2 linked regions of the Xenopus tropicalis genome follow. Each later gene encodes a partner of the first gene's protein in a complex. Links are inferred from orthologs where the notes say so. Each region holds a gene or a part of one and is shown in the gene's direction. Other genes may lie near its edges.

Evidence for each region.
Region 2: aar2 (region 1) and cd2bp2 share a complex: the UniProt entries of both Homo sapiens proteins name them as parts of the U5 snRNP complex. The link is inferred for Xenopus tropicalis from reciprocal best matches to the Homo sapiens genes AAR2 and CD2BP2.

What each region holds. Positions count from the first base shown.
Region 1 is NC_030686.2:39,750,331-39,766,623, reverse strand, and holds aar2 (protein AAR2 homolog), read left to right. Parts: upstream 1-6,663; 5' UTR 6,664-6,706; intron 6,707-7,843; 5' UTR 7,844-7,845; coding exon 7,846-8,387; intron 8,388-8,729; coding exon 8,730-8,947; intron 8,948-9,075; coding exon 9,076-9,305; intron 9,306-9,577; coding exon 9,578-9,763; 3' UTR 9,764-10,084; downstream 10,085-16,293. Other genes in the region: epb41l1 (band 4.1-like protein 1), read left to right, coding at 556-672, 801-809. UniProt on the Homo sapiens protein: Component of the U5 snRNP complex that is required for spliceosome assembly and for pre-mRNA splicing.
Region 2 is NC_030685.2:13,545,544-13,561,755, reverse strand, and holds cd2bp2 (CD2 antigen cytoplasmic tail-binding protein 2), read left to right. Parts: upstream 1-7,164; 5' UTR 7,165-7,213; intron 7,214-7,229; exon of another isoform or gene 7,230-7,310; intron 7,311-8,343; 5' UTR 8,344-8,344; coding exon 8,345-8,413; intron 8,414-8,558; coding exon 8,559-8,697; intron 8,698-9,726; coding exon 9,727-9,884; intron 9,885-10,562; coding exon 10,563-11,193; intron 11,194-11,275; coding exon 11,276-11,370; intron 11,371-13,924; coding exon 13,925-14,035; 3' UTR 14,036-15,351; downstream 15,352-16,212. UniProt on the Homo sapiens protein: Involved in pre-mRNA splicing as component of the U5 snRNP complex that is involved in spliceosome assembly.

The sequences.
Region 1 (16,293 bases):
TTCCAAGTACCCAGAGGCCAAACAGCCCCCCCAGCCCAATAATTAGTGAGTGTCTATGGCATCTTACAGCAGCCTCTCTGGCATTTGCCTGAACCCACAGATTGCCAGTCTGGGCCTGGGTCCTGGCATTCCAAGTACCCAGAGACCCAAACAGCCCCCCCAGCCCAATAAATAGATACTATGGCATCTTACAGCAGCCCCTCTGGCATTTGCCAGAATACACAGATTGCCAGTCCAGGTCTGAAACATGCTATTAAGTATCTAGGTGCCTAAATGTTTTGCTGTTACATACCCTGCTGAAAAGGGTGGGTTTATGATGGCCACAATTAAGATATCAGCTTTCATTAGTTAGAATTAAATTAATGGCATTCCAAGTACACAGAGGCCCAAACAGCCCCCCCCAGCCCAATAAATAGTGACCGTCTATGGCATCTTACAGCAGCCCCTCTGGCATTTGCCAGAACCCACAGATTGCCAGACCGGGTCTGTACAGGTACAGGGCCCAAAATTGCATTAATAACCAAGAAATATACTTTCTTTTCCTTCCCCCGGAAGGCCCTTGCACTGGCCATAAAAGAGGCCAAACTTCAGCACCCAGACATGATGGTCACCAAGGCTGTTGTGTATTGTGAGACAGAACCCTCCCCTGAGGAGCCTGGAGAGAGCGTTGAGGTTAGTGAGCATGCTCGTGCATGGAGAGGTGCCACCTTCAATAGTCGTGACCTGTGCTGTGTGTTTATATATTATGTACTGACTGTAGTTTTGCTAGTGATACTGTATGTCTTTCCCCCCCACTTTAGAAATCTTGACGTCGGATTTTGGATGTGAAAATCTTCCCATGGCCACTTCTCTTTGTTATTCACCTCTGAAAATAAGGACACCCTCTCCCTCCCTTAATTTCCTCTTTACACACCATGCCAGCTGCAAAAACCACCACATCCGGCAAGGGGCAACTAAGACCACGCTGACAGTGCCCCTTACAGAGAGAATGAGAGAGACTTGCCACCCTCCCAGGAGCAGATTCCCTAACTGAGTGCTGAGGGCAATAATACACCTTCCCTTCTCCCCTTCCCCTTGGCCAATCATCCTAAGAAGCATGTGTGGCACTACGGGACTGCATGCAACATCTACAGGGTTCTTTTTATCTGCACTACTAAGGAACTATTGCTCCGGATTGCTAGAGACCTTCAAAGAATCAATTCCTTGATGCTCTTGGCTCTTCAGCCTAGAAGGGGGTTAATCTACGGATTAATCAGGATACCTCTCTGCAATAGATAGAAGCCTAGCACGCTCTGAGCCTGCCCTGATAATCTTCAGCCTGGAGATCACTCTGCATTAGATAGAAACGCAGCACGGTCTGAGCCTGATCATTTGCATCCAGGAGAACAAATTAGCTAGAAGTCCGGCACTATCAAATCATCTTCTGATAATCTGCACTCAGTGGGTCAAACTCTTTTTGATTGATTTTAAATGCTGCATAACTGATATTATTGATTTGGTACAGTTAAGATAAAATGAATTGCTTACTTGGTACATAGTTATTTAGAATGAAAAAGACAAATTTCAACCCCCAGTGTGATTATTGGTCAAAGAGAATGCAAAACACTAACTGTTACCCCACCGAGGGACAAAGTATCCCTTCCTGACTCCTCCTAAAATGCAACAGTATATCCCTAATTTACTGCCAGCCTATGTAAGTATATATAATTTAATAATAATTAAACAACCAGACATTTTCATACATTCTGCATCAGTTTTAGAAAAGACATTTAAATCTTGCAGATCTCATGGGTCCAAGTCTTAAATAACATCTGTCCTAATCTGAAATGACAATAATGGCTGAGAGGAGCACTAGTTTGTTCGTCAAGGGTGTTCTTAATTTAAGAGTTGAGAAGCAAATGCAATATAAGGAAGATAAGATATTTGCAAGCACTGGAAAGGAGCAACTGGCATGTCAGCATAAATGAACAGTAATGCCGCCCAATCACAGCATACCATGCTCACCAGGGGGGTGAGGAGGAGTAAGATAAGAGAAGAGAAGGCAAATGACAATGAAAGAAGGGTGGGTCCACAACTTGGTTGTGGTTCAGGCAGAGAACTTTGGCTTTCAGGGGGATGATAGGAGTTAAAATTTAAATAAAATATGATGAGGAAGAATAAGAATGGTGAGATGACATAGTAATCATTTCTTCATATTGCGCCAGCAAGTTACACAGCGCTTTACATTCATTTATAACAAACAGGGGTCTTGCAATATTTAAACAGAGTAAAAAATAGGTCCAGAGGGCTCTGATTGCTGGATAAACAAAAAGGAAAATGTAAGACGAGAAGAATAAAACAGGAAAGCATACAGGCTAAAAGAAGGGTAAAAAGAGAAGTGGGCAGGAAAGTAGATCATTAGGTGTAGAGAGAAGAGTATAGGAGACAGAATGAGAAAGAGAAGCAGGGGGGATGGAGTGGCAGAGAAGAAGAGAGAAAGCAAAAAGAAGCTGGGGCATAATAGGGTATATGGAACTTGAGAGGCTGGAGGGGGAACAGTAGGGGAGAGAAAATGAGAGAGGCTGGAGGAGTAGAGGCAGTGAGGGAAGAGAAAGAAGTAGAAAAAAGGGAGTCGGTGTTTCAGTAAGTGGGCTCCTAGGATTAGCTTTCATGGTGGGTGCTGTAAATGGATATCATTTTTTGCTGTAACTAAACAGTCAGTGCACAATATGGGAGCAGATCTGGTGAATTTTCAGAAATGTCTTGTCTCTCAGTGACCCAGAACTGCTCCTGTGGGGGGGTCACAGCATAGAAGCTCCAGGCAAGCAACCTTGTGTTTCATGTCTGACTCCCACTGTTAGTCTGGTTTGTGGTCTAAATCTTAGCTTGGCAGATCCCGGCAAAATCCATTGCAGCTAGGAGCACCGTAAAGTAAAAAGGAGATTGATGAATATGTTCGAGTTGTAGTGTTCCTTTAAATCCTGAATATTCTGTGTGTCCGAGAACATATCTAACCCGCTGCTGAGGGCAGTAAGTGAATATAACTATGTACTATGTAACTATTAAACTGGTAACTGAGCTTCCGTACTGCAAAGGTCAGAACAAATTCTTTTTTTTTTTTTTTTTCCCAACTCCTTGCAAGTAGAAAACGCTGCTGTATTAGCCTGTTGGTTGTCAGCTTCCAAGCCTGGAGATGTCCCTGCTAGCTGGGGATTGGCTGAGCTGTGTATGTGTGAAAGGGTTAACGTCGCACAGGGGGAGGCCTGACCTAATGCAATGCTGTGCTCTCCCTTGACTCCCCTCCACCCTGTGCTCCGTGATGTCACTGCTCTATAGCCAATAAAAACAAACTTGGTGTGACTTTTTTTTGTACTGGTCTCCATTCTTTCGCCTCATTTTGAAATGTACCCCGGTGGGCCCTGCACCCCCCCCAGTCCGACCCTGCAAAAACAGCACCATGGAAAAAATAAACCTGGGTTGACCTGGGTTGAACTAACCATATGGTCTCAAAGAGCCCTTGCCTTGGGCAACAGATTTATAGGGGGACCCATGGGTACCTATATGGTCCAACAGCAAGTATACAGCAGTAGGCAAAATAATTTTGTATTTACCATATAGGTACCTGTGGACCTCACCCCTAAAGCTGGCACTGTAGGCAGGGGCCCACTGGTGCCTATACAGTAGATATGGCCAGAGATGTAGGGATGAACAAGTGCCTATATGGTAAATAAAGTAATGCTAAAAAATATATCTCCCCAGCCCACCACCAGATACTTTTGGCTAAATCCGGCAGCCATGCAGAAGGGTAAGGGATCTTCAGCAATCAGAACATTTGCAGCATACCAGGACCATGAGCTGATCAAGGTAGCAACGGACCCAAATATAGCCTTGGCTATTAACCAGTTATCTGTGATCCCCATGCTTTGATATAAAAAAGGGGGTTAATTATGTTGACAGAATCACTAAAGGCCTGTAGCACAATGAGTGTTCTGCCAGCAGAAAACACCCAGGCAACCTTTCCTTTTAGAACCTGCCAGCTGCAGAAATGCCAACCTAGTACTTTTGTATTTAGGTATGTCTTGGACAAGCCCTGACATACCCCAACTCTGCTGAATGCTGCGGTAATTCAGTGGCATTTCAATGGCAGGGGTCACCTGTAATTCAGGGTGACTGGGCTGTTACAGCAACCAAGAGAGGGGGGAAGGGGGAAGCCAAAACAGGATGACTTCCACAGAGATTCCAACTCCAAAACTAATGAAACTGGGAGATCAACGGCATGCATAACTAGCAGGTAGAGTTCTGCACAGAACCAGTTTTTGAGACCCGCATCTTTACTGATTTTGATCTACTACTACCATCACAATGGAATAAAACAAACACTTTTTAACACAGCATTACAGGAAAGAAGGATTTTTATCTTCTCTCTTCATTGAAAGGGGGGCACAGGCAATGAAGGGTTAACTAAAATGGACACTAAAAGAACAAATGCTGGCAGCCCTCCCAGCAGGCTACACCCTCTGTGGGGGCTGGAACTGCCCAGAACGTACAAAAAACAGTAAAAAATAACTTAAGTAGAACTATAGGAACTATATCTATGGGCCAAGGGCTGAGAAACTGTGCCTTCGCACAGGCAGAGGTGGGGAAGACTCCCACCAAGAAGGACCAAGGGAGACTGCTGAGGCATGAGACACATTCCATCAAGTCGTTTGACAGGCAGGAAGACTATGCAGGGAAGGGCATGCCTGTGTCCTCCTATCAATCAAGTGAGAAAAAGATTTTACAGGTAAGATAAAGAACCTACTTTCTCTTTCTTTTCAGGGGGACACAGGCACTGAGGGGACGTTTTCAAGAGCAGTCCCAAAATAGATTTAGGGTGGGATTGGGAATCATGTCTGAGCCTGTACTGATGCCTGCAGCACCTTTCTGTCGAAGGCAGCATCCGCTGAAGCTGCTACGTGCACCTGGTAAAACCATGTAAAGCTGTGAATAGAAGACCAGGTGGCAGCCTTGCAAATTTGCTCAACAGAGGCAAGGTTCTTAGCTGCCCATGAAGTGGCCAGGGCTCTGGTAGAGTGAGCTGTGACTCTGACTCAGGGCTTGCCCCAAATCGGATAGGCTCTGATAATAGTGCCTCTGATCCACCTGGCAAGGGTGTTCTTGGAAAACCGTTAACCCCTGTGGGAGCCTACAGGGATGGTGAGTAGGGCATCTGACTTCTTGTTATCTGGAAAGGCCCATTCGTCCTTGATGACTGAGTTGGTCGTGTCAGGGGAAGACTCTAGAGGTCTTCTTCTGTTGCTTGAAGAGATCCTTGGGGGGGTCTGCAGAGCTAGGGGCAGACACATTGAGATGGCCTCAATTAGGAACCTCATTGGCTCTCTGAGGGGAGTCTTCATCAGATAAGCCCTCTGAGAATTGACCTTCCTTAGCAAGTTACGACTCCTTGCCAGAGTCTGGAAGAATAGAAATGGCTGGGGGTTTGCGCTTGCCCAAAAAACCTGTAGGAGACTGGGAAGCAAACAGTTTATCTAGGGAGTCTGTCAAGACCCTGCAAGGAGGCCAGTGAATGAGCTAGCTTGCGTACCCAGGGAGGCTCAGGAATGGAGACCGAAGTCTAGCGCAACACTGGGTGCAATCAAGAAAAGAAACCTGTGTGGTAATAGGATTCCTGGTGGGTTCGGCCAAACCTTGGCACATCAATTGTGGGTTGCACTCACCTTCCCCACCTGTGACCTTACACTGCCGGCTTCCTCTTCCGGCTCTCTAATTTATAGGCACATGTGGGGCAGGTGCGGGTCTACAGAGGGAAGAAGCCGGGTCGGGCAGGGTTAGGGTTGGAAGTGGGCAGGTTAGGGCTGGGAGTGAGCAGGTTAGGGCTGGGAGTGGGCAGGTTAGGGTTGGGAGTGGGCAGGTTAGGGTTGGGAGTGGGCAGGTTAGGGTTGGGAAGGTTAGGGTTGGGAGTGGGCAGGTTAGGGTTGGGAGTGGGCAAGTTCGAGTCGAGGATTTCTTGACCGACACATCACTAGCTCCCACCCTCCTGCGCTGCCAAACCACATACAGCAGCGGAGCACCAAATCCTGCCCATGTAGCCCAAGGATGCTGGCTATCTCTGCCAGCAGTAGCCCCAGGGTCCCAGTCCATAGGGGGAACCTGCAACCTGCGTGAAGTGAGGGGGGGGGGGTGAGCAGCTCCCCTTCCCCCAGTTGCTGAAGGGACTTAACCAGAGCTCCTGCCCTTCTCTAGAGCTCCATACATGTCTGGGGGCTGAACCATGATTCCTGCCCAAGATCTCCTGTAAGGAAAAGGAGAGATGCAATATAAACAATAAAAAGTCAAATAAAATAAAGTAAAATAAATAGAAAACTCCCTGAAGGGGAGTTGTGTCCTCCTCCCATAAGTTCCAGTTCCCCCCCCCCCCCCCAGAAGGTGGTATTAACCCTTCAGTGCCGGTGTCCCCCTGGAACTGTGTTTTTATTAGAACAATTCGACCTTTACAGCAGTGCTTACTGCTTCCCTTCTAGTTGTGCCTCTCAGTCTGAGGCGCTCAGGCTCTATAATGTTCCAGAACACAGGGATTTGGAAATGTTGCGGACAGTTAACTATAGGAACCATTATTTCATAGGGTCGGGTTTCCAGGGGGAGGGCTATTGTGCTGCACAGGGAAAGCTTTTCTGCTTCCGGGTACGAATGTGAGCTGTTCTGCCTACAGGCTGTTACAGTACTAAAGGTATGTAGTGAGGGTGGGTTTATTGTGTCAGGGGTATCAGTCTGGCAACTAGTGTGTCCTTCCTCCCTGTCTAACGGGGGATCTGCTGTCCCTGTATCTGTCACTCTGGGGATCTGCTGTCCCTGTATCTGTCACTCTCTGGGGATCTGCTGTCCCTGTATCTGTCACTCTGGGGATCTGCTGTCCCTGTATCTGTCACTCTGGGGATCTGCTGTCCCTGTATCTGTGACTCTGGGGATCTGCTGTCCCTGTATCTGTCACTCTGGGGATCTGCTGGCCCTGTATCTGTCACTCTGGGGATCTGCTGTCCCTGTATCTGTGACTCTGTGGGGGATCTGCTGTCCCTGTATCTGTGACTCTGTGGGGGATCTGCTGTCCCTGTATCTGTGACTCTGTGGGGGATCTGCTGTCCCTGTATCTGTCACTCTGGGGATCTGCTGTCCCTGTATCTGTCACTCTGGGGATCTGCTGTCCCTGTATCTGTCACTCTGGGGATCTGCTGTCCCTGTATCTGTCACTCTGGGTTCTGCTGTCCCTGTATCTGTGACTCACAAGCAAAACCACTTGTGAGTATGAGCCCTAAAGCCAGAGAAAGGGTTGGGGGTGGTTCTGCATATTACTGAGCAGAGGCAAGAGAAGAAGGGAAACTCTGGGGGAGCAGAAAGCTCTATATAGGAATCCTTGCCTGCTCTGAAATCATCAACTTTAGACAAACTTTACTCAACACCCACCACTTGCCCCCCCCCCTCTATATTGATGGCCATGTTGGGACCCTAAGCTGTAGAATCCCAGCTCTCTAATTTATGCACAGGAGTGTGATGTCACAGGCATAGGTATAATGAGCGAGGCAGGAGATTCAGTTATTGCATGTCACCAAACATGGCCACCCTCACTGGGAGCTCCCTCCCAGTATGAGCATGTTTAGGCAAAACAGCATTGTTTCTGGGGAGTGTAACAGGAAGTGGGTTCCCTGTGTCCCAGGACTCTGTGTCCCTGTTGCTGGGACAGCCACCGTGCCCTGTGTCCATAACCCTAAAACATGTCTATATACCCCCCAAAGATAAACTGGTAATGTTTGAGAATACAAAGCGTTAGAAAACCAATTAATGAATAACCTTTAACAACTTCCTTTTATAGAGATGGACACCCCTTCAACAGACATGGATCCTGAACTTGCCCGGCAGCTGTTCTTTGAAGGTGCAACCCTGGTGATATTGGGGGTACCAGAAGGCTCTGAATTTGGCATAGACTATAATAGCTGGCAAGTGGGACCTCGATTTAGAGGTGTAAAAATGGTGCCCCCGGGTGTTCATTTCATGCACTACAACGTGGTTGGTAAAGGAGGGGGCCTTGGAGACATGAGCCCGCGCAGCAGCATGTTCCTCTATTTGCAACAGAGAGAGCTGCGTCTTTTCCGCTGGGACCCCCAGGAGGAAGAGATGGTCGTAGCCCCTCAAGAAGAAGCCGAAAAACTAAGGGAGGAGCTTCAATCCTTAGATTCCTTCCTGGGGCCATATCCTTATCAGAGCATGCGTCGCTGGGTGTCGCTCAGTAATCACATCAAGAAAGAGTCCATGTTCAGGCTACAGCCGAAATGTGGCACCATCTTCTCCTTTCCTGAGGTCCTTCCTACGGAACCCATGACCCACACTGCCGACCGAGTCCAACATAATCTGCCCAGGTATGGGAAAAGCCAGGGGGAACTAACAGCGCTGTCAGGAGGGTGGGAATTTACCAATTTGATAAGTGTCCTATTAGAAATGGTGTGCCTATTATAGTGTGTATTTGTGGGAATGTATGCAGACTGGGTATAGGCATTTGTATGTTTTAGAATAAAGAAACTTTATTATTTTTTTTATCCAAACATTAGGTCTGTGGCACTTGGCTGCCTGCTATATACCAACTTTTAATTTGTTTTTACATATGTTTACTATTCTCCATAAAATATAGCATTGGCTTTGTACTGTATTGCTATAGCGCCACAGATATAGGCAGTGCTTTACAAGGTTTGTTCTCTTCCCAGATATGACAGTGTGTGCCAAAGCTATAAGGAGGGCATGGCCAGGCTGCCCCAAATGAAGCAGAAAGAGGGAACAGAGATTCGGTTTAGCCTGATTCCTGACAAGACGTACCCTGATAATGCCACCCCTACTGAGATCACCCAGCACAGCTTGGACCTTTCCTATGCCCTGGGGCAGTTGCTGAATACACACTACCCAGGGCAACCCTTGGAGCTGCTTGGTAAGTCCAACTGCTTTCTACTTTAACCCTGTTTATGTGCATAGTGGCATAGTAGTACAGGTGGGAGGTGGGTTTTGCCCAGTAGGGACTTACCTTACTTATCTTGACTTTAACTCTTTCCCTTCCAGCTGAGCTGCAGTTCTCCTTTGTCTGCTTTGTACTTGGGAATGTGTATGAAGCATTTGAGCAGTGGAAGAAAATACTGAACCTTTTGTGCCGGGCAGAGAATTTCTCCCTGCAGCACCCAGAACTGTACATGGAAACTATATCAGTCCTATACCACCAGCTGGCACAAGTACCCACTGACTTCTTTGTTGACATTGTATCCCAGAGCAATTTCCTTACCAGTACTCTGCAGGTACTTCACACTTTTTTACAATCTACATTCTTCTGTGTGGGACAGGAATGTTCAGTTTATACCTCATAGCTTGTATTTTAACTGGAAGTCATAATTTAGTCATTTGCAGTCTATAAAAAGATCGGGTAACCTGTGCTATTTCTGATGTTTTTGGGCTACAACTCCCGGCCCTGCTCACAGACACTACTCATACTGATACATTTTTACTGTCCATTTTTTCTGGGCTTTTACTCCCTGAATGTTGTTACAAAGATCTCCTCTTGTTTCCACAGGTTCTCTTCTCCTTTCTGTGTTCCCCCACTGCCAATCCAGCTCTCAGGAAGAAAGCAATTCGGTTCAGGGCTCATCTAACCAAGAAATTCCAGTGGGATTTTGAAGAGGAGCCTGATGACTGTGCACCCCTTATTGTTGATTTGCCTGCAGGATTGGATCCTTCCTCACAAAGTGCTGCTTCCTGAGCCAAAGGACAAGGATAACAAACCCTGTGTTATTTGCACTTACATTCTGTATCTGTCTCCATTAGGATGAGCTAACGGAATATACAGCCTCGAGATCAGTTCCCCAGTGCAGGGATAATACAACACTGGGGAGCCAACAGATCATTCCATTTCTGCTCCCCATTAAAAAAAATGCATTTCTGAAGAGAAGAAGAGGCTTCATGTTCATCCTACAACTGTTTATTATTGGCTTCTCGGTGCCACCTTGTTAACATGTAAAAAGCTTTGTATCTTCTAACTCCCGTCACCTCCACAGAAGTAATTATATTTCAGCCAAGCGTCTACGGTTTCTCTCTCTTCATTTGCTTGTCTTTGTGCCATTTTTTATCATTCCCCTGGTACTAGTGTCTGAATCGGCTCTGGCTGCAGACTGCACTTGCTTTTCCTGCCATCTCTTACATGTCAGGTGTTTTGGGTTCTGCCAAATGTTTATTCCTTTTACACACGGCCACCAGGAAGCGCACTTTTCTTTTGATTTTGTATTTTGGTAGAGCAAGCAGCATGGCACCTCCTTTATTAAGTATAAATAATACCAAATACACATTTCAACAAGACTCTATTTTTGATAACTTTTCCCCATTTGTTTACATAGACATGAGAAGAAATGTGCAGAAAGCAATGAGCTGGGATTCAGAAGTAACCTCTGTTTAACCCATACAATCGGAATGAAGTGATACATGCCTATCTACCAAAAAAAAAAAAAAAAAAATTTGAGTAAGGAAATTCTTACCCCACCCACTTCTCCAATATTAGAGACAATTTAAAGGGGAACTCCATCCAAAGCAACTAAAGCTTTCTTTGCAATATACATCAGTTAAAAATATGCCTAAGCCCCACCCCCTGTTCCCCTGCTGATCTGACTACTTTGAGACTCAAATAAAATGTAACAGTAGTCGGCTGTCCTCAGCCTGCCTTCAGCCTGCCTCCTCCCAATCCCACAATTCCCTGCACACGTGATGTCAATAATGAAAGGAAGATCACCGTTCAATGCATTGTGAGTTGTGTAGATTCGCATGCTGTCTGTAATCTGTGAAGAAGTTGTTACAATTTGTAACATCAGTGCTTTAGTCCCTCCTCCCCTGCCAGGATTTCAAATAATGTAGGAGAAGAACTGTTTTGCAGCTGGATTTCAGCATATAACAATGGTATTTATTCCTACTTTTTGAAGGAACAGATTACAGGGATAGGTATATTAGGGGTTTCTGTGTTGCATGGGGCTCTAACAAATTTTGGTTCAGAAGCTGGAGTTTCCCTTTAATGTGGCTATTTTGCTCTCGTACCTAGGTACAAAGTAAGTGTCTTCAAGCTCAGCTCCGTCTGATTACATTACATTAGTCAATCCATAAAGCGAGTTTACAAACAATTCCTGCTGTCGGCAAAATAAATTGTGGGTAATAACAGAAGTCAAAGATCCCAGCTCTGTGAAAACATAGTAAGGTTGAAAAAAAAGACACACGTCCATCAAGTTGAACCATAATGCCTATATATAACCTGCCTAACTGCTAGTTGATCCAGAGGAAGGCAAAACCCCACCTGAAGCCTCTCTAATGTGCCGCAGAGGGGAAAAAATTCCTTCCTGACTCCAAGATGGCAATCGGACCGGACCCTGGATCAACTAGTACTGAGAGCTATCTCCCCTACCCCTGTATTCCCTCACTTGTACTGAGAGCTATCTCCCCTACCCCTGTATTCCCTCACTTGTACTGAGAGCTATCTCCCATAACCTTGTATTCCCTCACTTGTACTGAGAGCTATCTCCCATACCCCTGTATTCCCTCACTTGTACTGAGAGCTATCCCCCCTACCCCTGTATTCCCTCACTTGTACTGAGAGCTATCTCCCTTACCCCTGTATTCCCTCACTTGTACTGAGAGCTATCTCCCCTACCCCTGTATTCCCTCACTTGTACTGAGAGCTATCTCCCATACCCCTGTATTCCCTCACTTGTACTGAGAGCTATCTCCCATACCCCTGTATTCCCTCACTTGTACTGAGAGCTATCTCCCCTACCCCTGTATTCCCTCACTTGTACTGAGAGCTATCTCCCCTACCCCTGTATTCCCTCACTTGTACTGAGAGCTATCTCCCATACCCCTGTATTCCCTCACTTGTACTGAGAGCTATCTCCCCTACCCCTGTATTCCCTCACTTGTACTGAGAGCTATCTCCCCTACCCCTGTATTCCCTCACTTGTACTGAGAGCTATCTCCCCTACCCCTGTATTCCCTCACTTGTACTGAGAGCTATCTCCCATAACCCTGTATTCCCTCACTTGTACTGAGAGCTATCTCCCCTACCCCTGTATTCCCTCACTTGTACTGAGAGCTATCTCCCATAACCCTGTATTCCCTCACTTGTACTAAGAGCTATCTCCCATACCCCTGTATTCCCTCACTGGTACTGAGAGCTATCTCCCATACCCCTGTATTCCCTCACTTGTACTGAGAGCTATCTCCCCTACCCCTGTATTCCCTCACTTGTACTGAGAGTTATCTCCCCTACCCCTGTATTCCCTCACTTGTACTAAGAGCTATCTCCCCTACCCCTGTATTCCCTCACTTGTACTAAGAGCTATCTCCCATAACCCTGTATTCCCTCACTTGTACTGAGAGCTATCTCCCCTACCCCTGTATTCCCTCACTTGTACTGAGAGCTATCTCCCATAACTCTGTATTCCCTCACTTGTACTGAGAGCTATCTCCCATAACCCTGTATTCCCTCACTTGTACTGAGAGCTATCTCCCCTACCCCTGTATTCCCTCACTTGTACTGAGAGCTATCTCCCATAACTCTGTATTCCCTCACTTGTACTGAGAGCTATCTCCCATAACCCTGTATTCCCTCACTTGTACTGAGAGCTATCTCCCATAACTCTGTATTCCCTCACTTGTACTGAGAGCTATCTCCCATAACCCTGTATTCCCTCACTTGTACTGAGAGCTATCTCCCCTACCCCTGTATTCCCTCACTTGTACTGAGAGCTATCTCCCATACCCCTGTATTCCCTCACTTGTACTGAGAGTTATCTCCCCTACCCCTGTATTCCCTCACTTGTACTAAGAGCTATCTCCCCTACCCCTGTATTCCCTCACTTGTACTAAGAGCTATCTCCCATAACCCTGTATTCCCTCACTTGTACTAAGAGCTATCTCCCATAACCCTGTATTCCCTCACTTGTACTGAGAGTTATCTCCCCTACCCCTGTATTCCCTCACTTGTACTAAGAGCTATCCCCCCTACCCCTGTATTCCCTCACTTGTACTGAGAGCTATCCCCCCTACCCCTGTATTCCCTCACTTGTACTGAGAGCTATCTCCCCTACCCCTGTATTCCCTCACTTGTACTGAGAGCTATCTCCCCTACCCCTGTATTCCCTCACTTGTACTGAGAGCTATCTCCCTTACCCCTGTATTCCCTCACTTGTACTGAGAGCTATCTCCCCTACCCCTGTATTCCCTCACTTGTACTGAGAGCTATCTCCCCTACCCCTGTATTCCCTCACTTGTACTGAGAGCTATCTCCCATACCCCTGTATTCCCTCACTTGTACTGAGAGCTATCTCCCATACCCCTGTATTCCCTCACTTGTACTGAGAGCTATCTGCCCTACCCCTGTATTCCCTCACTTGTACTGAGAGCTATCTCCCCTACCCCTGTATTCCCTCACTTGTACTGAGAGCTATCTCCCCTACCCCTGTATTCCCTCACTTGTACTAAGAGCTATCTCCCCTACCCCTGTATTCCCTCACTTGTACTGAGAGCTATCTCCCATAACCCTGTATTCCCTCACTTGTACTGAGAGCTATCTCCCATAACCCTGTATTCCCTCACTTGTACTGAGAGCTATCTCCCCTACCCCTGTATTCCCTCACTTGTACTGAGAGCTATCTCCCCTACCCCTGTATTCCCTCACTTGTACTAAGAGCTATCTCCCATAACCCTGTATTCCCTCACTTGTACTGAGAGCTATCTCCCCTACCCCTGTATTCCCTCACTTGTACTGAGAGCTATCTCCCCTACCCCTGTATTCCCTCACTTGTACTGAGAGCTATCTCCCCTACCCCTGTATTCCCTCACTTGTACTGAGAGCTATCTCCCCTACCCCTGTATTCCCTCACTTGTACTGAGAGCTATCTCCCATAACTCTGTATTCCCTCACTTGCTAAAAAGCCATCCAACCCCTTCTTGAAGCTTTTTGATTCCTCTGCTGAGAATCTGGTCATGGCAACCCTTCAGACTGACAGCTGCATTGGAAAGATGGCTGCACAGTGTCAGGCTTTATATTCACATGAAAGGAAGATATGGGAGAAGTAATATCTAATATGCAGCCTGCCAGTTGCTGCTGATTTACAGCTTCCTGTGCCCTCTGACAGTTACAGACGCAACATCACTCATAGTGTAAAGCAGTGCAGCCCCATCTAAAATGAATAAGGATTTTTGTAGTCTTTCAGCTGCTGAAGAACTATACCTTCATTCTCTGACAGACTCTGAGTGGCAGGGGCAGTTCAGCTGGAGGACAGCTAAAGGGGTTGTTCACCTTTGAGTTAACTTAGTATGATGTAGAGAGTAATATTCTGAGACAATTTGCAATTGGTCTCCATTTTCTATTTGGTTTGGATAAGAGACTGGTATATGAATAGGAGAGGGGCTGAATAGAAAACTGTAACCTCACAGAGCAATCGCTTTTTCGCTGCTGGGGTCAGTGACCCCCAATTTAAAAACTGCAAAGAGTTGGAAGAAGGCTGCAAATAATTCAAAAACTATAAATAATAAATCATGAAGACCAATTGAAACATACCAAAAGTTAACTTAAATGTGAACCACCCCTTTAATGACTTCTACCATGCTTACAAAATAACTAGGGGACACCCATTATTGTATCCCTGATACTGAGTTTTCTGACCTGTACAAATCACACTAAATAGAGGTTTAAAAATAAATATATATTTGCCCGGCTTTTTTTATTTCGGGGGGGGGGAGCTGTGGTGTCTGTTGCATCTGTTGCATGGCAGTTTCCCCTACCTGTCTTCTTCTGAAGTTTAAACTTTGCTGTCTAATCACTCATTTGCAAGTGAGTGCCCAGGGGGAGATAGTGGGGCCCAGCATGGTGCATCCTAAGATTTTTTTTTGTGGGGGTACCTGGGTCAATTAAGGTTTGCCGCTGTGTGCCACAAGTAGTTTGTCTGGATTAAAGCAGTTCTGCATCAAACTGTGGGCTGATGTTCCTCATCAGCAATGGGAAAGACTGATACAGGTATGGGATCCATTATCCAGAAAGTTCCGAATTACGGAATGGCTCCCATAGACTCCATTATAAGCAAATAATTCTGATGATGAATTTTTGAAAATGATTTCCTTTTTCTCTGTAATAATAAAACAGTACCTGTACTTGATCCCAACTAAGATATAATTACCCCTTATTGGGGGCAGAACAGCCCTATTGGGTTTATTTAATGGTTAAATGATTCCCTTTTCTCTGTAATAATAAAACAGTACCTGTACTTGATCCCAACTAAGATATAATTACCCCTTATTGGGGGCAGAACAGTCCTATTGGGTTTATTTAATGGTTAAATGATTCCCTTTTCTCTGTAATAATAAAACAGTACCTGTACTTGATCCCAACTAAGATATAATTACCCCTTATTGGGGGCAGAACAGCCCTATTGGGTTTATTTAATGGTTAAATGATTCCCTTTTCTCTGTAATAATTAAACAGTACCTGTACTTGATCCCAACTAAGATATAATTACCCCTTATTGGGGGCAGAACAGCCCTATTGGGTTTATTTAATGGTTAAATGATTCCCTTTTCTCTGTAATAATAAAACAGTACCTGTACTTGATCCCAACTAAGATATAATTACCCCTTATTGGGGGCAGAACAGTCCTATTGGGTTTATTTAATGGTTAAATGATTCCCTTTTCTCTGTAATAATAAAACAGTACCTGTACTTGATCCCAACTAAGATATAATTACCCCTTATTGGGGGCAGAACAGCCCTATTGGGTTTATTTAATGGTTAAATGATTCCCTTTTCTCTGTAATAATTAAACAGTACCTGTACTTGATCCCAACTAAGATATAATTACCCCTTATTGGGGGCAGAACAGTCCTATTGGGTTTATTTAATGGTTAAATGATTCCCTTTTCTCTGTAATAATAAAACAGTACCTGTACTTGATCCCAACTAAGATATAATTACCCCTTATTGGGGCAGAACAGCCCTATTGGGTTTATTTAATGGTTAAATGATTCCCTTTTCTCTGTAATAATAAAACAGTACCTGTACTTGATCCCAACTAAGATATAATTACCCCTTATTGGGGGCAGAACAGCCCTATTGGGTTTATTCATTATTTAAATGATTTTTTAGCAGACTTAAGGTATGGAGATCCAAGTTATGGAAAGATCCCTTATCTGGAAAACCCCAGGTCCCGAGCATTCTGGATAACAGGTCCCATACCTGTATCTAATTACAGAAAAGTGTTT
Region 2 (16,212 bases), on another chromosome or scaffold:
CAGGTCCGTTGTTACTGCCCCTACACGGGACCAATATTGGCAGCTACAATCGGCCCGCGTATGGCCACCTTAAGGCTGCAGCATCCACTTAATCACTTAGATTTCCTTCTCCTCCTGTAACTCACTCAACCCCCTCCCTCAGGGATTTACTTTGGCTGTTGGCTACTGGGCATGCTCAGTTCTTCTCAGCTCAGATTACTAAACACGCCCTCCAGTCTAGCAGCCAATAAATAGATTAGATTACTGGTTTCCATTGAAACTCTGCTCTAGCAGTCTACTCCTATTTTTTTCTTCTAACCTCCTCTCCTGAGCTTAGCTTAACCATTACAGGGCTCAATCCAAGCATGACATTTAATCAAAGAAAGTTCTGCCTGTGTAAGCCTGCATTCTGCACTGCATGAACTTTACAGTGCACATGTGGTGTTTGCAGATGGAAATGTCACTGAGGGAAAATGGGCGCTGGGCAAAAGCTGCTATTTGATTTAGGAAAATGTGATGGTGCCGGCAAAGGGAGGGGATATATGCAGTACAAATGATGCCATTTGGGTGGGGGAGACGTGGGCTTTACATGCCCGTTAAGGTGGCTGTGCCCATTGTTTGGGGATTCTATTATTTGGCATCTGGGAGACTGTGTGCCATGGGAATGGAAGACGTGGGCGTTAAAAGGCAAGAGACAGTTATAAAATGGGCCCCAGTGGGTGTGTGTGTGTGTGGGATGAAGGGGAAGTGAGACATACATCCTGCCATACAGTCTGTCTCACTTCTGCCATATCAGAGCAGAGCTGTCACCTTGCTATTCAGCCAGTCCCTGTGCTACAGATGGGAGGGCAGTGACAGTCTCTTACTGAAGCAAATGGAAACCTCACAGGCTCACACTCTGTTACTGTCTCTTTCCCTTTAATTGCCTCTGCTTCACTGATTGTCTCTTGTCTCAATGATCACTATGATTGTCTCTCTATTCCTGTAAGTGCCGCTCTGCCCCTGTAACTGCCTCTCAGGCACTCAATGGCACTGTCTCGCAGTCACTGTAATCTCTCTCCATATGGCTGGCACAACTGACTTTCTGTTTGTGCAACTGCCTTTATGTGCCTGTCACTTGTCTGCCTGGCTGCTGTCTCGCTGACATTAAATCAGTCTCTGTGTCCCACACTTACTTTCTGTGGCTGGTCTCTTGGGTGCTTTTTCTCCTTCTTCTCCTACTTCCCCTGTTTAGTTTCACTGTTACTGACCTCTCCAAGGGGTGTGTCTCACTGAGTGTGACTGTCCCTCTCGCTCGGCAGCTCACCTGTGCTGCACACACCTGCTGGCCGGCCGGGAGAAGCAAGGCATTCTGGCCTTTGTAGTCCCAGTGGGGCAGGATTGCATTAATGTACTCACATTTCATTCTCTCAGTTTGGAACATTAATGATCACAAAGGCTAAAGTGGCTCAGTTTCTGGGACTCATAACCAATAGTCATTTTTGGCAATAACAAATTCATTTGATTACTCTACAATGTATGAGATAACAGGACAACACAGAGACTGCACTATCGTTGCTGTTTTACACCTTTTACTGTGTTTTACACTTCCTGCTTTACACTTCTCACACCCATTACTGTAATAGCCACTCCCAGTTCACACACACACCGCACACACCGTGCCCATACACACACACCGTGCCCATACACACACACCGATCCCATACACACACACCGTGCCCATACACACACACCGATCCCATACACACACACCGTGCCCATACACACACACCGTGCCCATACACACACACCGTGCCCATACACACACACCGATCCCATACACACACACCGATCCCATACACACACACCGTGCCCATACACACACACCGTGCCCATACACACACACCGTGCCCATGCACACACCATGCCCATACACACACACCGATCCCATACACACACACCATGCCCATACACACACACCGTGCCCATACACACACACCGTGCCCATACACACACACCGTGCCCATACACACACACCGTGCCCATGCACACACCGTGCCCATACACACACACCGATCCCATACACACACACCGTGCCCATACACACACACCGTGCCCATACACACACACCGTGCCCATACACACACCGTGCCCATACACACTCACACCAATCCCATACACACACACCGTGCCCATACACACACCGTGCCCATACACACACACCGTGCCCATACACACACACCGTGCCCATACACACACCGTGCCCATACACACACACCGTGCCCATACACACACACCGTGCCCATACACACACACCGTGCCCATACACACACACCGTGCCCATACACACACACCGATCCCATACACACACCGTGCCCATACACACACCGTGCCCATACACCACACACCGTGCCCATACACACACACCGTGCCCATACACACACCGTGCCCATACACACACACACCGATCCCATACACACACACCGTGCCCATACACACACCGTGCCCATACACACACACCGTGCCCATACACACACACCGTGCCCATACACACACCGTGCCCATACACACACACCGTGCCCATACACACACACCGTGCCCATACACACACACCGTGCCCATACACACACACCGTGCCCATACACACACACCGTGCCCATACACACACACCGTGCCCATACACACACCGTGCCCATACACACACACCGTGCCCATACACACCGCTCTAACTTCTCCAGCTCTCCTCCCTGCATGTCTCTCACATAACTACACACTGCATTTGCCTGCATACAAGCAGGGTCTCGTACAAAGGAATATGCCCCTAAGGGCCCTTACATGAGCGTGACATTCACATTTCATGCATTCCCTTGCAAGGGAAGGCATGATTTAAAGGAAAACTATACCCCCAAGCAATGTAGGTCTCTATAAAAATATATTGCATAAACAGCTCATATGTAAACCTAACTAAATAAACCATTTTCATAGAAAATAGACTTATTTAATAGTATGTGCCATTGGGTAATCCTAAATAGAAAACTGCCATTTTAAGTACTTAGGGCCGCCCCCTGGGATCATAGGAGTCACAGTGCACACAAGAAGGCACACATACATGCTAGGCCCCATCAGCCAATGAATGGACAGAGTTCTGCCTTTTACTCCCACACTACTTCCTGTTACAGTTAGAGCTGCATCACTTCCTGTCAGCTGATCTCTGAGGGAGCACACAGCCCATCACAAAATGGCGGCTCAAGGGAAAGGATGAAAAAGGGCAATATTTACTGATATATATATAACATACCTCCCAACTGTCCTGATTTTTGCGGGACAGTCCCTCTTTTGACAGCTCAACCCGCAGTCCCGGATTCTTACTGAAAAGTCCCTCATTTCCCTTTGATCTCCTGCACTGAAGCTAAAAATATACAAATTTAATTAAAACTGAGACTCGAAACTTTCAGACTCGAAAATTTCACCTTTTTCAGCAAAACTGTAATAACACATAAAACAGGCCCCCCAAAACCCCCCAGAAATGTGTTCAAACTTTAACTATCTTGTAGATTGTAAGCTCTTTTGGGCAGGGCTCTCTTCCCCTCTTGTATCGGTTATTGATTGCTTTATATGTTACTCCTTGTAGATTGTAAGCTCTTTTGGGCAGGGCTCTCTTCCCCTCTTGTATCGGTTATTGATTGCTTTATATGTTACTCCTTGTAGATTGTAAGCTCTTTTGGGCAGGGCTCTCTTCACCTCTTGTATCGGTTACTGATTGCTTTATATGTTACTCCTTGTAGATTGTAAGCTCTTTTGGGCAGGGCTCTCTTCACCTCTTGTATCGGTTATTGATTGCTTTATATGTTACTCCTTGTAGATTGTAAGCTCTTTTGGGCAGGGCTCTCTTCCCCTCCTGTATCGGTTATTGATTGCTTTATATGTTACTCCTTGTAGATTGTAAGCTCTTTTGGGCAGGGCTCTCTTCCCCTCCTGTATCGGTTATTGATTGCTTTATATGTTACTCCTTGTAGAGTGTAAGCTCTTTTGGGCAGGGCCCTCTTCACCTCTTGTATCGGTTATTGATTGCTTTATATGTTACTCCTTGTAGATTGTAAGCTCTTTTGGGCAGGGCTCTCTTCACCTCTTGTATCGGTTATTGATTGCTTTATATGTTACTCCTTGTAGATTGTAAGCTCTTTTGGGCAGGGCCCTCTTCCCCTCCTGTATTGGTTATTGATTGCTTTATATGTTACTCCTTGTAGATTGTAAGCTCTTTTGGGCAGGGCCCTCTTCCCCTCCTGTATCGGTTATTGATTGCTTTATATGTTACTCCTTGTAGAGTGTAAGCTCTTTTGGGCAGGGCCCTCTTCCCCTCCTGTATCGGTTATTGATTGCTTTACAGTGGTGTGAAAAACTATTTGCCCCCTTCCTGATTTCTTATTCTTTTGCATGTTTGTCACACTTAAATGTTTCTGCTCATCAAAAACCGTTAACTATTAGTCAAAGATAACATAATTGAACACAAAATGCAGTTTTTAAATGAAGGTTTACGTTATTAAGGGAGAAAAAAAACTCCAAATCTACATGGCCCTGTGTGAAAAAGTGATTGCCCCCCTTGTTAAAAAATAACTTAACTGTGGTTTATCAATTTCAATTTTCAATTTCAATATCAATTTCTGTAGTCACCCCCAGGCCTGATTACTGCCACACCTGTTTCAATCAAGAAATCACTTAAATAGGAGGTACCTGACACAGAGAAGTAGACCAAAAGCACCTCAAAAGCTAGACATCATGCCAAGATCCAAAGAAATTCAGGAACAAATGAGAACAAAAGTAATTGAGATCTATCAGTCTGGTAAAGGTTATAAAGCCATTTCTAAAGCTTTGGGACTCCAGCGAACCACAGTGAGAGCCATTATCCACAAATGGCAAAAACATGGAACAGTGGTGAACCTTCCCAGGAGTGGCCGGCCGACCAAAATTACCCCAAGAGCGCAGAGACAACTAATCCGAGAGGCCACAAAAGACCCCAGGACAACATCTAAAGAACTGCAGGCCTCACTTGCCTCAATTAAGGTCAGTGTTCACGACTCCACCATAAGAAAGAGACTGGGTAAAAACGGCCTGCATGGCAGATTTCCAAGGCGCAAACCACTTTTAAGCAAAAAGAACATTATGGCTCGTCTCAATTTTGCTAAAAAACATCTCAATGATTGCCAAGATCAATATCTTGTGGACAGACGAGACAAAAGTTGAACTTTTTGGAAGGTGCGTGTCCCGTTACATCTGGCGTAAAAGTAACACAGCATTTCAGAAAAAGAACATCATACCAACAGTAAAATATGGTGGTGGTAGTGTGATGGTCTGGGGTTGTTTTGCTTCTTCAGGACCTGGAAGGCTTGCTGTGATAGATGGAACCATGAATTCTACTGTCTACCAAAAAATCCTGAAGGAGAATGTCCGGCCATCTGTTCGTCAACTCAAGCTGAAGCGATCTTGGGTGCTGCAGCAGGACAATGACCCAAAACACACCAGCAAATCCACCTCTGAATGGCTGAAGAAAAACAAAATGAAGACTTTGGAGTGGCCTAGTCAAAGTCCTGACCTGAATCCTATTGAGATGTTGTGGCATGACCTTAAAAAGGCGGTTCATGCTAGAAAACCCTCAAATAAAGCTGAATTACAACAATTCTGCAAAGATGAGTGGGCCAAAATTCCTCCAGAGCGCTGTAAAAGACTCGTTGCAAGTTATCGCAAACGCTTGATTGCAGTTATTGCTGCTAAGGGTGGCCCAACCAGTTATTAGGTTCAGGGGGCAATTACTTTTTCACACAGGGCCATGGAGGTTTGGATTTTTTTTCTCCCTAAATAATAAAAACCCTCATTTAAAAACTGCATTTTGTGTTTACTTGTGTTATCTTTGACTAATAGTTAAATGTGTTTGATGATCAGAAACATATTGTGTGACAAACATGCAAAAGAATAAGAAATCAGGAAGGGGGCAAATAGTTTTTCACACCACTGTATATGTTACTCCTTGTAGATTGTAAGCTCTTTTGGGCAGGGCTCCCTTCCCCTCCTGTATTGGTTATTGATTGCTTTATATGTTACTCCTTGTAGAGTGTAAGCTCTTTTGGGCAGGGCTCCCTTCACCTCTTGTATCGGTTATTGATTGCTTTATATGTTACTCCTTGTAGAGTGTAAGCTCTTTTGGGCAGGGCCCTCTTCCCCTCCTGTATTGGTTATTGATTGCTTTATATGTTACTCCTTGTAGAGTGTAAGCTCTTTTGGGCAGGGCTCCCTTCCCCTCTTGTATCGGTTATTGATTGCTTTATATGTTACTCCTTGTAGATTGTAAGCTCTTTTGGGCAGGGCTCTCTTCCCCTCTTGTATCGGTTGATTGCTTTATATGTTACTCCTTGTAGATTGTAAGCTCTTTTGGGCAGGGCCCTCTTCCCCTCCTGTATCGGTTACTGATTGCTTTATATGTTACTCCTTGTAGATTGTAAGCTCTTTTGGGCAGGGCCCTCTTCCCCTCCTGTATCGGTTACTGATTGCTTTATATGTTACTCCTTGTAGATTGTAAGCTCTTTTGGGCAGGGCTCCCTTCCCCTCCTGTATCGGTTACTGATTGCTTTATATGTTACTCTGTATGCCCAATGTATGAAACCCACTTATTGTACAGCGCTGCGGGATATGTTGGCGCTTTATAAATAAATGTTAATAATAATAATAAATAACAAATGTAATAAGTAAATTTAGTCAAATGGGAGTGGTATTTAGGGGGTGTGGTTGCACGCAGCGTTTATTTTTGTCCCTGTTTTCAGTTTCAAAATGTTGGGAGGTATGTAACCATGTCTGATTCATTGATAAAAGCGACCAACAATGTATTTACTTTCTCTCCTGGGGCCCTTCCATTCCTGGCTAAATGACCTCTCTCTGGTTATAAAACCTATAACTATCAGGAAAAAGCCCTGTAACCCAATCCCATTTTAATAACCAGTGGCAATAAATGACAATTATTTTTTAATGTTATTACTGGTGCTTTAACTTAAATTGTGCATTAATAAGTCAGTGGGATGCACCAGTGACAACTACAAGTCCCAGCATCCCCTGCAAGACGACTACTTTGTGACCTGCAGCAGCTATACAGTCATATTTCAAAGCGATACAACTTCATTTGCCCTACTTCCGGTTTGACTTCATCACTTCCTGCGCGTCATCCGGCTGCGACACCCGCGTCTCGACGAGTGCTTCCGAAAAACGAAAGGTTTGTTGGATACTTACCGAGCTGCGCTAGAACTAAGGGGATCTGGGAACTTGTGAGGCCTTTAAAGTTGCAAAACACCGGCCCTTATTTACGGCAGGTCGGCCCTGGGGGCGGGGCCTGTTTGATACGAATCCCCTCTCCGTTATTTATGTTATAAACAGGGTTATACTGAGGAACCTGCAGGGATCTCTCTTCCCCTCATGTTTCCTCACACCGAGCGGTTTTCTTGCATTTTCCTGGTTTTAGACTTTCCCCCCCTTTATTTTGTATACAAGTTCCCTTCTACTCACAGGGTCTCTTAACCCAATAAGGGGTAATTATATCTTAGTTGGGATCAAGTACAGGTACTGTTTTATTATTACAGAGAAAAGGGAATCATTTAACCATGACATAAACCCAATAGGGCTGTTCTGCCCCAATAAGGGGTAATTATATCTTAGTTGGGATCAAGTACAGGTACTGTTTTATTATTACAGAGAAAAGGGAATCATTTAACCATTAAATAAACCCAATAGGGCTGTTCTGCCCCAATAAGGGGTAATTATATCTTAGTTGGGATCAAGTACAGGTACTGTTTTATTATTACAGAGAAAAAGGAATCATTTAACCATGAAATAAACCCAATAGGGCTGTTCTGCCCCCAATAAGGGGTAATTATATCTTAGTTGGGATCAAGTACAGGTACTGTTTTATTATTACAGAGAAAAGGGAATCATTTAACCATTAAATAAACCCAATAGGGCTGTTCTGCCCCCAATAAGGGGTAATTATATCTTAGTTGGGATCAAGTACAGGTACTGTTTTATTATTACAGAGAAAAGGGAATCATTTAACCATTAAATAAACCCAATAGGATTGTTCTGTTCTAATGGGTTTCCAGATAAGAGGTCCAATACCTGTAGTCTTTCATAGGGATGCACCGACTCCACTGTTTTGGGATTCAGTTGAACCCTGAATTCTTTTGTGAAAGATTCGCTGAATCCTGGTACAAAGGGGCTAAAGAGAACTCCTCCTTTCCGCTATCATGCGATGAAAAGTCATGTGACTTTAGGGATTCGGTTTGGCCAGGCACTGGCCAAATCCTGTATTTAATGCATCCCTATTAATAGTGCCTGTTGCCTTTTCTATAGGATGTCTAAAAGGAAGGTCACATTTGTGGATGGGGCTGAAGACGACGATGATGAGCAGAAAAAAAAAAGGGTAAGTTAAGAAGCAGAGCCGAATTGCACCATGTCGCTTTTCTTTTTCCAAACTGATCCCAGTAACCTTTATAAAGACGCCATTATATAGACGGTCTGCATTAGCCAATGTGCATGTCTGACACGGTCTCACCCCTTTATTGAAGCTCCCGGATGTAGTGGGAGGCCCAGGAAGTCGATTTAAAGGGAAACATTCTCTGGACAGCGATGAGGAAGATGATGAGGAAGAAACCAGTGATGGACGTTCTGCAAAGTATGACATATTAGCCCCCGAGGATGTTGAAGGTGAGATTCCATAGCAGGGTGCCCGCTTTGTGCCTCTTGTAGTATTATAAACCCCTTTACAAGAAACAAGCGGACGCATAATATAAGGATGTTTGGGAGAGGGTAGCTAAAGATACCTGGTACTGAAACATCCTATGCATAAGTTGCCCCCAGGCCACCCTAGTGTATTGGTACCCACAGTAATGATGAGGGAGTGAGCTGCAGGAGCAGTGCTGCTTGCTTTGCTTATGCTGAGCTGGAGGCAGGCCAGTAATTCCATAGGCTGAACTGCAATTTTAAACTCTACTGCAACCTATCAAAAGATGGCACTTCCTCCAGCTCAGCATAACTTGGGCACAATGGGCTCTCCACTCCCAGTCACCTAAAGTCATATCAGGGTGTCTGCTGCAGTAAGTACCCATCAGCTGGGGGTGGCTTGGGGCAGTCATCTACAAAAGAAGATCATGGCCATTTTGCGGACTACTTCATACTGGATATTATAGTAAAGTCTTTGTACAGGCTATGAGCAAAGCAAATGTTATGCTGACAGATACCATAAAACTATGGCAGCATAGGGATTCCCCTGTACTAAGCACAATTCAGCAGGAACAGCCCCCTAAGTTTGCTCATAGCCTGTACAGAGAGATACCATAAAACTATGGCAGCATAGGGATTCCCCTGTACTAAGCACAATTCAGCAGGAACAGCCCCCTAAGTTTGCTCATAGCCTGTACAGAGAGATGCCATAAAACTATGGCAGCATAGGGATTCCCCTGTACTAAGCACAATTCAGCAGGAACAGCCCCCTAAGTTTGCTCATAGCCTGTACAGAGAGATGCCATAAAACTATGGCAGCATAGGGATTCCCCTGTACTAAGCACAATTCAGCAGGAACAGCCCCCTAAGTTTGCTCATAGCCAGTACAGAGAGATACCATAAAACTATAGCAGCATAGGGATTCCCCTGTACTAAGCACAATTCAGCAGGAACAGCCCCTTAAATTTGACTTAAATTTGTCTTAAATTTGTCTTTGCTCTTCTTCCTCTGCAGGACAAGAAAACGCTACTCTGGAGTCGGAGGGTGGTGTTCCGATTACTCCTTTTAACCTGAAGGAGGAAATGGAGGAAGGGCATTTTGACTCTGAGGGCAACTATTTTTTGCGTAAAGAAGCTCAGATTCGGGACCACTGGCTTGATAATATAGACTGGGTGAGTGAATATGAATTGGGAGAACATGAAACGTAATAGCAGAATTTGAGTCCCTTCAGGTGGAACAGGGTGATTACAATCCAAGAATCAAGTTGGGCACTGTATGAACACAGTCACATTAGATGCCTCTTGGAATGCACTGAACCCAGTATTCAGTTTGGGATTCAGGCAAGATTCTGCAGAATCTGTAAAATCACATGAACACAGAAGTAAAAAATTAAGCGCGCGCTTCATTTAACTGTTCCGTAGCTTAATTTGCACATGCAAATAAGGATTCAGTTCAGTATTTGGCCAAATCATTTACAGAGACTTTTGGGGTTCGACTGAACCCAAAATAGTGGATTCGGTGCATCCCTAGATGCTTCCCAACTTTTTAGATTTAAGGCTGTCGCTTCTCTTCATGACGCCCTAAGCATCCCGTCATGTTCAGATCTGTTCTTGCACCCCACCAGTGGCATTGGCCAAGGGAAACTGGCACCTCTTCATGTGATTGGCCAGACAGGATAGGAGGAGGATGCTGGGGCAGTCAGGATGAGAAGAGATCATTGTATATTGTAGGGGAAGAAGCACTTTAAGATGAAAGCAGCACACATGGACCCTTCTGCTTATACCTAAACATGTGCGCCCGTGACCAATGGCACCCAGTAACCAGCAGTAACCCCTATCCTCTTGCCCTAGGTCCGAGTTAAGGAACGCACTGCACCCACAGAAACCGCTGATGATGATGACTCTGATTCTGAGGAAGGCAGAGCACCACTGAGCAAGAAAGTGCTACTGGAGGGAATCTTGCAGCTGCTTCAGCCTGGCGAGACTGTGGCTAAAGGAATCCAGCGTCTTGGAGGGACAGGAGGCAAAAAGGCAACTGGGGGCCAGAGAGCAAGGCAGCAGAAGACCCCCCAAGGCAGGAGAAAGAAGAGAGGGACTAAGTCTGACGGAGACAGAGAGCAGGAAGATAATACAGATTCTAAAATGGATGAGGGTAAAGGTGAAACGGATTCAAGGCAAGAGAGAAAGGATGAGCAAGGTCAGGAGTCCCTAAGAGACAGGGTGCGGGATAATGGCCAAGAGGAAACTGCACAGAGCAGAGTGGCTGCGGGGTCGGAGGAAGCAAGTAACGAGGCAGAAAGTAGGCCAGAGCCCCTCGAGCTCCTCATATCCCTAGCAGATCAGATGGTAGCCCTTGGTGTGTATGAGATCTACCAGGACACATATGAGAAGGTGGCGTACAGGCTCAAGACCTTGGCTCCACCTGCCGAGCTGGACATGTTTGCTGATGAGGTGGAGGAGAAAACACTGGAGAAGAAGGCGGGTAAGGGCCGGTACCACTGATTATTGTGCTGGGAAATAACATAGGCCAGCCCGTGGCATCACCCCCTTTCTTTTCTTTTTAGAGTCCCAGTCGTCGGATGCAGTGATGTGGGAGTACAAATGGGAGAACAAGGACGGAGCAGAGCTGTATGGGCCCTTCTCCAGCACACAGATGCAGGTAAGTGGCTTCTCTGTAGGTAGGTGGGACAATAAAGGTGCATCACCGACTGTTTGTGTGTTATTTTCTCCCACCTCTCTGCTCGCTTCAGTTTCCTATCTTGTAGTGGGTGAATGGGATGGGCTAGGGAATGATGGCATTTATTCGAAGTGCAGCAACTTTTTGGGGGCCTAACCCTTCATGAGGCATACCAACCAGTGCAATAGAGACAGTTAAATACATAATAGCATAAATAATTACATAATTAATTATATAAAAATACAAAGACCTGAAATTCCACAGTGACCGGTAGTAGCAGTAGCAGTAGCAGTAGCCCAAAAAAAAGTTTATAAACAAACATTTTTGAAAAGTCCATAAGTAAAAACATTTTTGAAGTCCATAAGTAAAGTAAATCACCTACCAAAGTAACTCTAGAAAATGAACTACTAACAAAAATTCTTTATCGTTTATATGTGCAGAAAAACATAATTAGAAATTATTATAAATAGCGAGACATGTTACAATCCTTGTTTAACCCTTGAGGATACTTCGTTTTTCAAGCCCATATCCAGTAGCATTCCTTTGGTAGTAAAATTCTCTTTATATCCTGCCCCTCCCTCACTTTTACCTGCTCCAATATTTGCCGTCTAAGTTGCGAGATCTGATGGCCAGATTCCAAAAAATGTTCAGCTAAAGCTGTTTCCTTTCTGTCTTTCCCTAGCTTTGTAACCAATTCTCTGAGGGGTTTATAATCCTGAATTTATCCCCATTCAATCGCACGCGCACTGCGTGACTTCTCTGCCCAACGTAAACCAATCCACAGGGGCCAGCATCAGACTGGGAACCCAGGGGCCCACCAGAAAACCTTAGACCCTAGGCCCACCCTACAAACTATTTTTCCTCCTTTCCTCACCCAACCTCTTTATTCTCCTAGTCTCTTTTATTTACATGCTAGCATCTATTCTTCCATCTATTTCTACTCTTCCTTCCCATTCAGAAATAGGGAATGACCATGAAACAGGCCAAATGGTCAGGAGCAGGAGGACCCACTGACACCTGGGCCCACCGGGAGTTTTCCTGGTATCCTGGTGGGCCAGTCCGACACTAATGGGGGTATTTCATGTAATAGACCACATTTTTACTATTACAGTTAATAGTTCCTTTTATTGGTAATTTTGAACTATTATGTGGATGTATTACGTTATCCCCACAGATCATACCATTGCAATGGCTACAGTCAGGGCTGGACTGGGCTGGCGGGGACACTGGGAAAAATCCCAGTGGGCCCCAGCGGCCCATGCCGGCGCTCCCCCTGCCCGACCGTTACTCCCCTGACGATTTAACCTTACGCATGATTGGGGAGGACGTCTGGTGGGGGACCCTGCAGGGGGTTAGGGGACGTGGATTGCAGGGGCACCTCTAGGAGCACTAGGAGCCCCGTTGGCCCCTGCACCCCCTAGTCTGACCCTGGCTACAGTTGGTGCATGGATATGTACCTCCCTTTTCACATACTTCACTGTATTTTTTATATATTATTTAGGCTCAACTTTACCGATTCCCCCATTGTCTTTCCTTTTTTCATACGAGAACATCTGTGGATTACTGAACAATTTACCCAACTTTGGGTCCGATTTCAGAACAGCCCAGTATTTTAACACCAGCTTTTTAATTAGTCCAGCATTATTGTCATAAGTACAGGTATGGGATCCCTTATCCGGAAACCCGTTATCCAGAAAGTTCCGAATTACAGAAAGGCCATCTCCCATAGACTCTATTATAAGCAAATAATTCTAATTTTTAAAATTGATTTCCTTTTTTCGCTGTAATTAGAAGCCAGTACCCAATAGGGCTGTTCTGCCCCCAATAAGGGGTAATTATATCTTAGTTGGGATCAAGTACAGGTACTGTTTTATTATTACAGAGAAAAGGGAATCATTTAACCATGAAATAAACCCAATAGGGCTGTTCTGCCCCCAATAAGGGGTAATTATATCTTAGTTGGGATTAAGTACAGGTACTGTTTTATTATTACAGAGAAAAGGGAATCATTTAACCATTAAATAAACCCAATAGGACTGTTCTGCCCCCAATAAGGGGTAATTATATCTTAGTTGGGATCAAGTACAGGTACTGTTTTATTATTACAGAGAAAAGGGAATCATTTAACCATTAAATAAACCCAATAGGGCTGTTCTGCCCCAATAAGGGGTAATTATATCTTAGTTGGGATCAAGTACAGGTACTGTTTTATTAATACAGAGAAAAAGAAAATTGGTTTTAAAATTCTGAATTATTTGATTAAAATGGAGTCTATGGGAAACGGGCTTTCCGTAATTTGAAGCTTTCTGGATAACGGCTTTCTGGATAAGGGATCCCATACCTGTAATACCATTTATTGTTTTGTGATACCACACAATTTCTAAATAAAATCACCCCCTGTAAAGCCATAGACACATAGCATGCCAGTGGTTGAAAAAAGGACCCTCTGGGTTGCCCAAGAATAATCTCTGGGTGGGTAGCCATGTCGGTGCTGTTTCAATGAAAAGCCATAATATCCGCTGCTTCTCTGTTGCAGGAATGGGTGGATCAGGGCTACTTCGCCGAGGGAGTTTATTGCCGGCGAGTGAGCGGCTCCGGGAGTCAGTTCTACAACTCACAGAGAATAGACTTTGAGCTTTACATGTGATTGGTCCCGGCACTCTCGCTGCCCCGCCTCTTCCACTGTGATGGACTCTATGGACTTCCCCTGTGGGACACTGACACATGGAAGAGACCATTGTGTGTGCTGGTATATCCCCCTGAGTGCCGTTTGTGAGCGAGAGAAGCCTCCCGGAGTGCACACTCATGCTAATCTGGTCTGTACGTGTGTGTGTGATCCTTACACAGATTTATTGCAGGGCTTCAGCTGTTTGTAATAAAAATATTTTATTTCTCTTATTGGTCTCTATGCCGTGTCAGGCTAAGCGGTATATTTACCAACCGGGGCTGGGTATGTGAGATTAACCTTCTATAGAGTCCGAATAATGGGTAAATACACCCACGTTTGCTGTTATCCCATTGGACGAAATGTATCTTTATTTCCCCTTTTGCTTTTATTTCATAATAGGTTCTATATTTTCATTTCTTTGCTTGTTATTTCATGCACTAAGCAGGGCAAAATCATAAATGGGGAGTAAAATTCAAATTCCACTTCCTGTTTAGTAAGCGCACAATAAAAACATAACGTAGGGAACAGGAGGTAGAATGTGACTGTACTTTCAATTTTAGATTTTGCCTAGATTTTTGCCTCTAGTTTGCTCATAGCCTGTACAGAGACATACCATAAAACTATGGCAGCATAGGGATTCCCCTGTACTAAGCACAATTCAGCAGGAACAGCCCCCTAAGTTTGCTCATAGCCTGTACAGAGAGATGACATAAAACTATGGCATATAGGGATTCCCCTGTACTAAGCACAATTCAGCAGGAACAGCCCCCTAAGTTTGCTCATAGCCTGTACAGAGAGATACCATAAAACTATGGCACATAGGGATTCCCCTGTACTAAGCACAATTCAGCAGGAACAGCCCCCTAAGTTTGCTCATAGCCTGTACAGAGAGACACCATAAAACTATGGCAGCATAGGGATTCCCCTGTACTAAGCACAATTCAGCAGGAACAGCCCCCTGAGTTTGCTCATAGCCTGTACAGAGAGATCCCATAAAACTATGGCACATAGGGATTCCCCTGTACTAAGCACAATTCAGCAGGAACAGCCCCCTAAGTTTGTTCATAGCCTGTACAGAGAGATACCATAAAACTATGGCAGCATAGGGATTCCCCTGTACTAAGCACAATTCAGCAGGAACAGCCCCCTAAGTTTGTTCATAGCCTGTACAGAGAGATACCATAAAACTATGGCAGAATAGGGATTCCCCTGTACTAAGCACAATTCAGCAGGAACAGCCGGCTAAGTTTGCTTGCATCCTGTAAAGAGAGAAATAAAATAAATATATAACAGCATTGATATATACTTTGTGCTAAGTACTCTGTCCCTTAATATAATACAGCTATATTTTTCTGGCCTACAGAAGATGAGGGCTTGTTCTTAGTGACCCACACAATCCATTTTATTTTTTTTATTCCGTCCCAGTGGCTCAATTCATTGGCTGTTATATTTTCTAAACATTTCTTTCCCCACTGGATCTCCCTTGCTTTCCCTTTTCTTTATGTAGGAATATTTACAATTACTAGACAGATGAATGGAGGAGAGCTGAGCCAATTTGCGTATGCTGCGCCCCCACTCTTCCGTGAGTACTTACAGGGGTGCAGACCCTGTGTCTTGGCTTCTCTCCCTCGCCATGATCAGGCAGGGGGCGGGGCTTGGTTCTGACCCAGAAACTGACTATGGGTTCTATCTGGTTACACTGATCTCTATGGCCCATTAAAGCAGCTTGGTGATGCTTCGGCCACTAGAGGGAGCATTTGTGCTACTGATCTGTTTTTATACAACTTCACTTGGCGCATAGAGATGAATGAGATTCAGTTTCTGTTGGATTCAAGCCCCAACATCCTCCATTGGAACTGAATGCAGAAAGAACCCAAGTTATGTCCCTGGCTCAGTACTGAGGGGGCAAGAAGGTCCCCTTCCCCAGGGTAGGATACTAATGCAGATGGGATTCATTCCAGACAGATTTACCCCTTCCCTTGGCAGATGCCATGTTATACCCAGCAGAGGGGTATTTATCCCCCTATTTAGTGTGGGCTGCTGTGTATGAATACCTGGTGTGCGCGCTGAGTGACACATGTAATAAACAATATTTTTATGAATCGGTTTTGTCATATTTGCATTAAATACCCCTTTACCCTTCCTTTCCCTGTAAG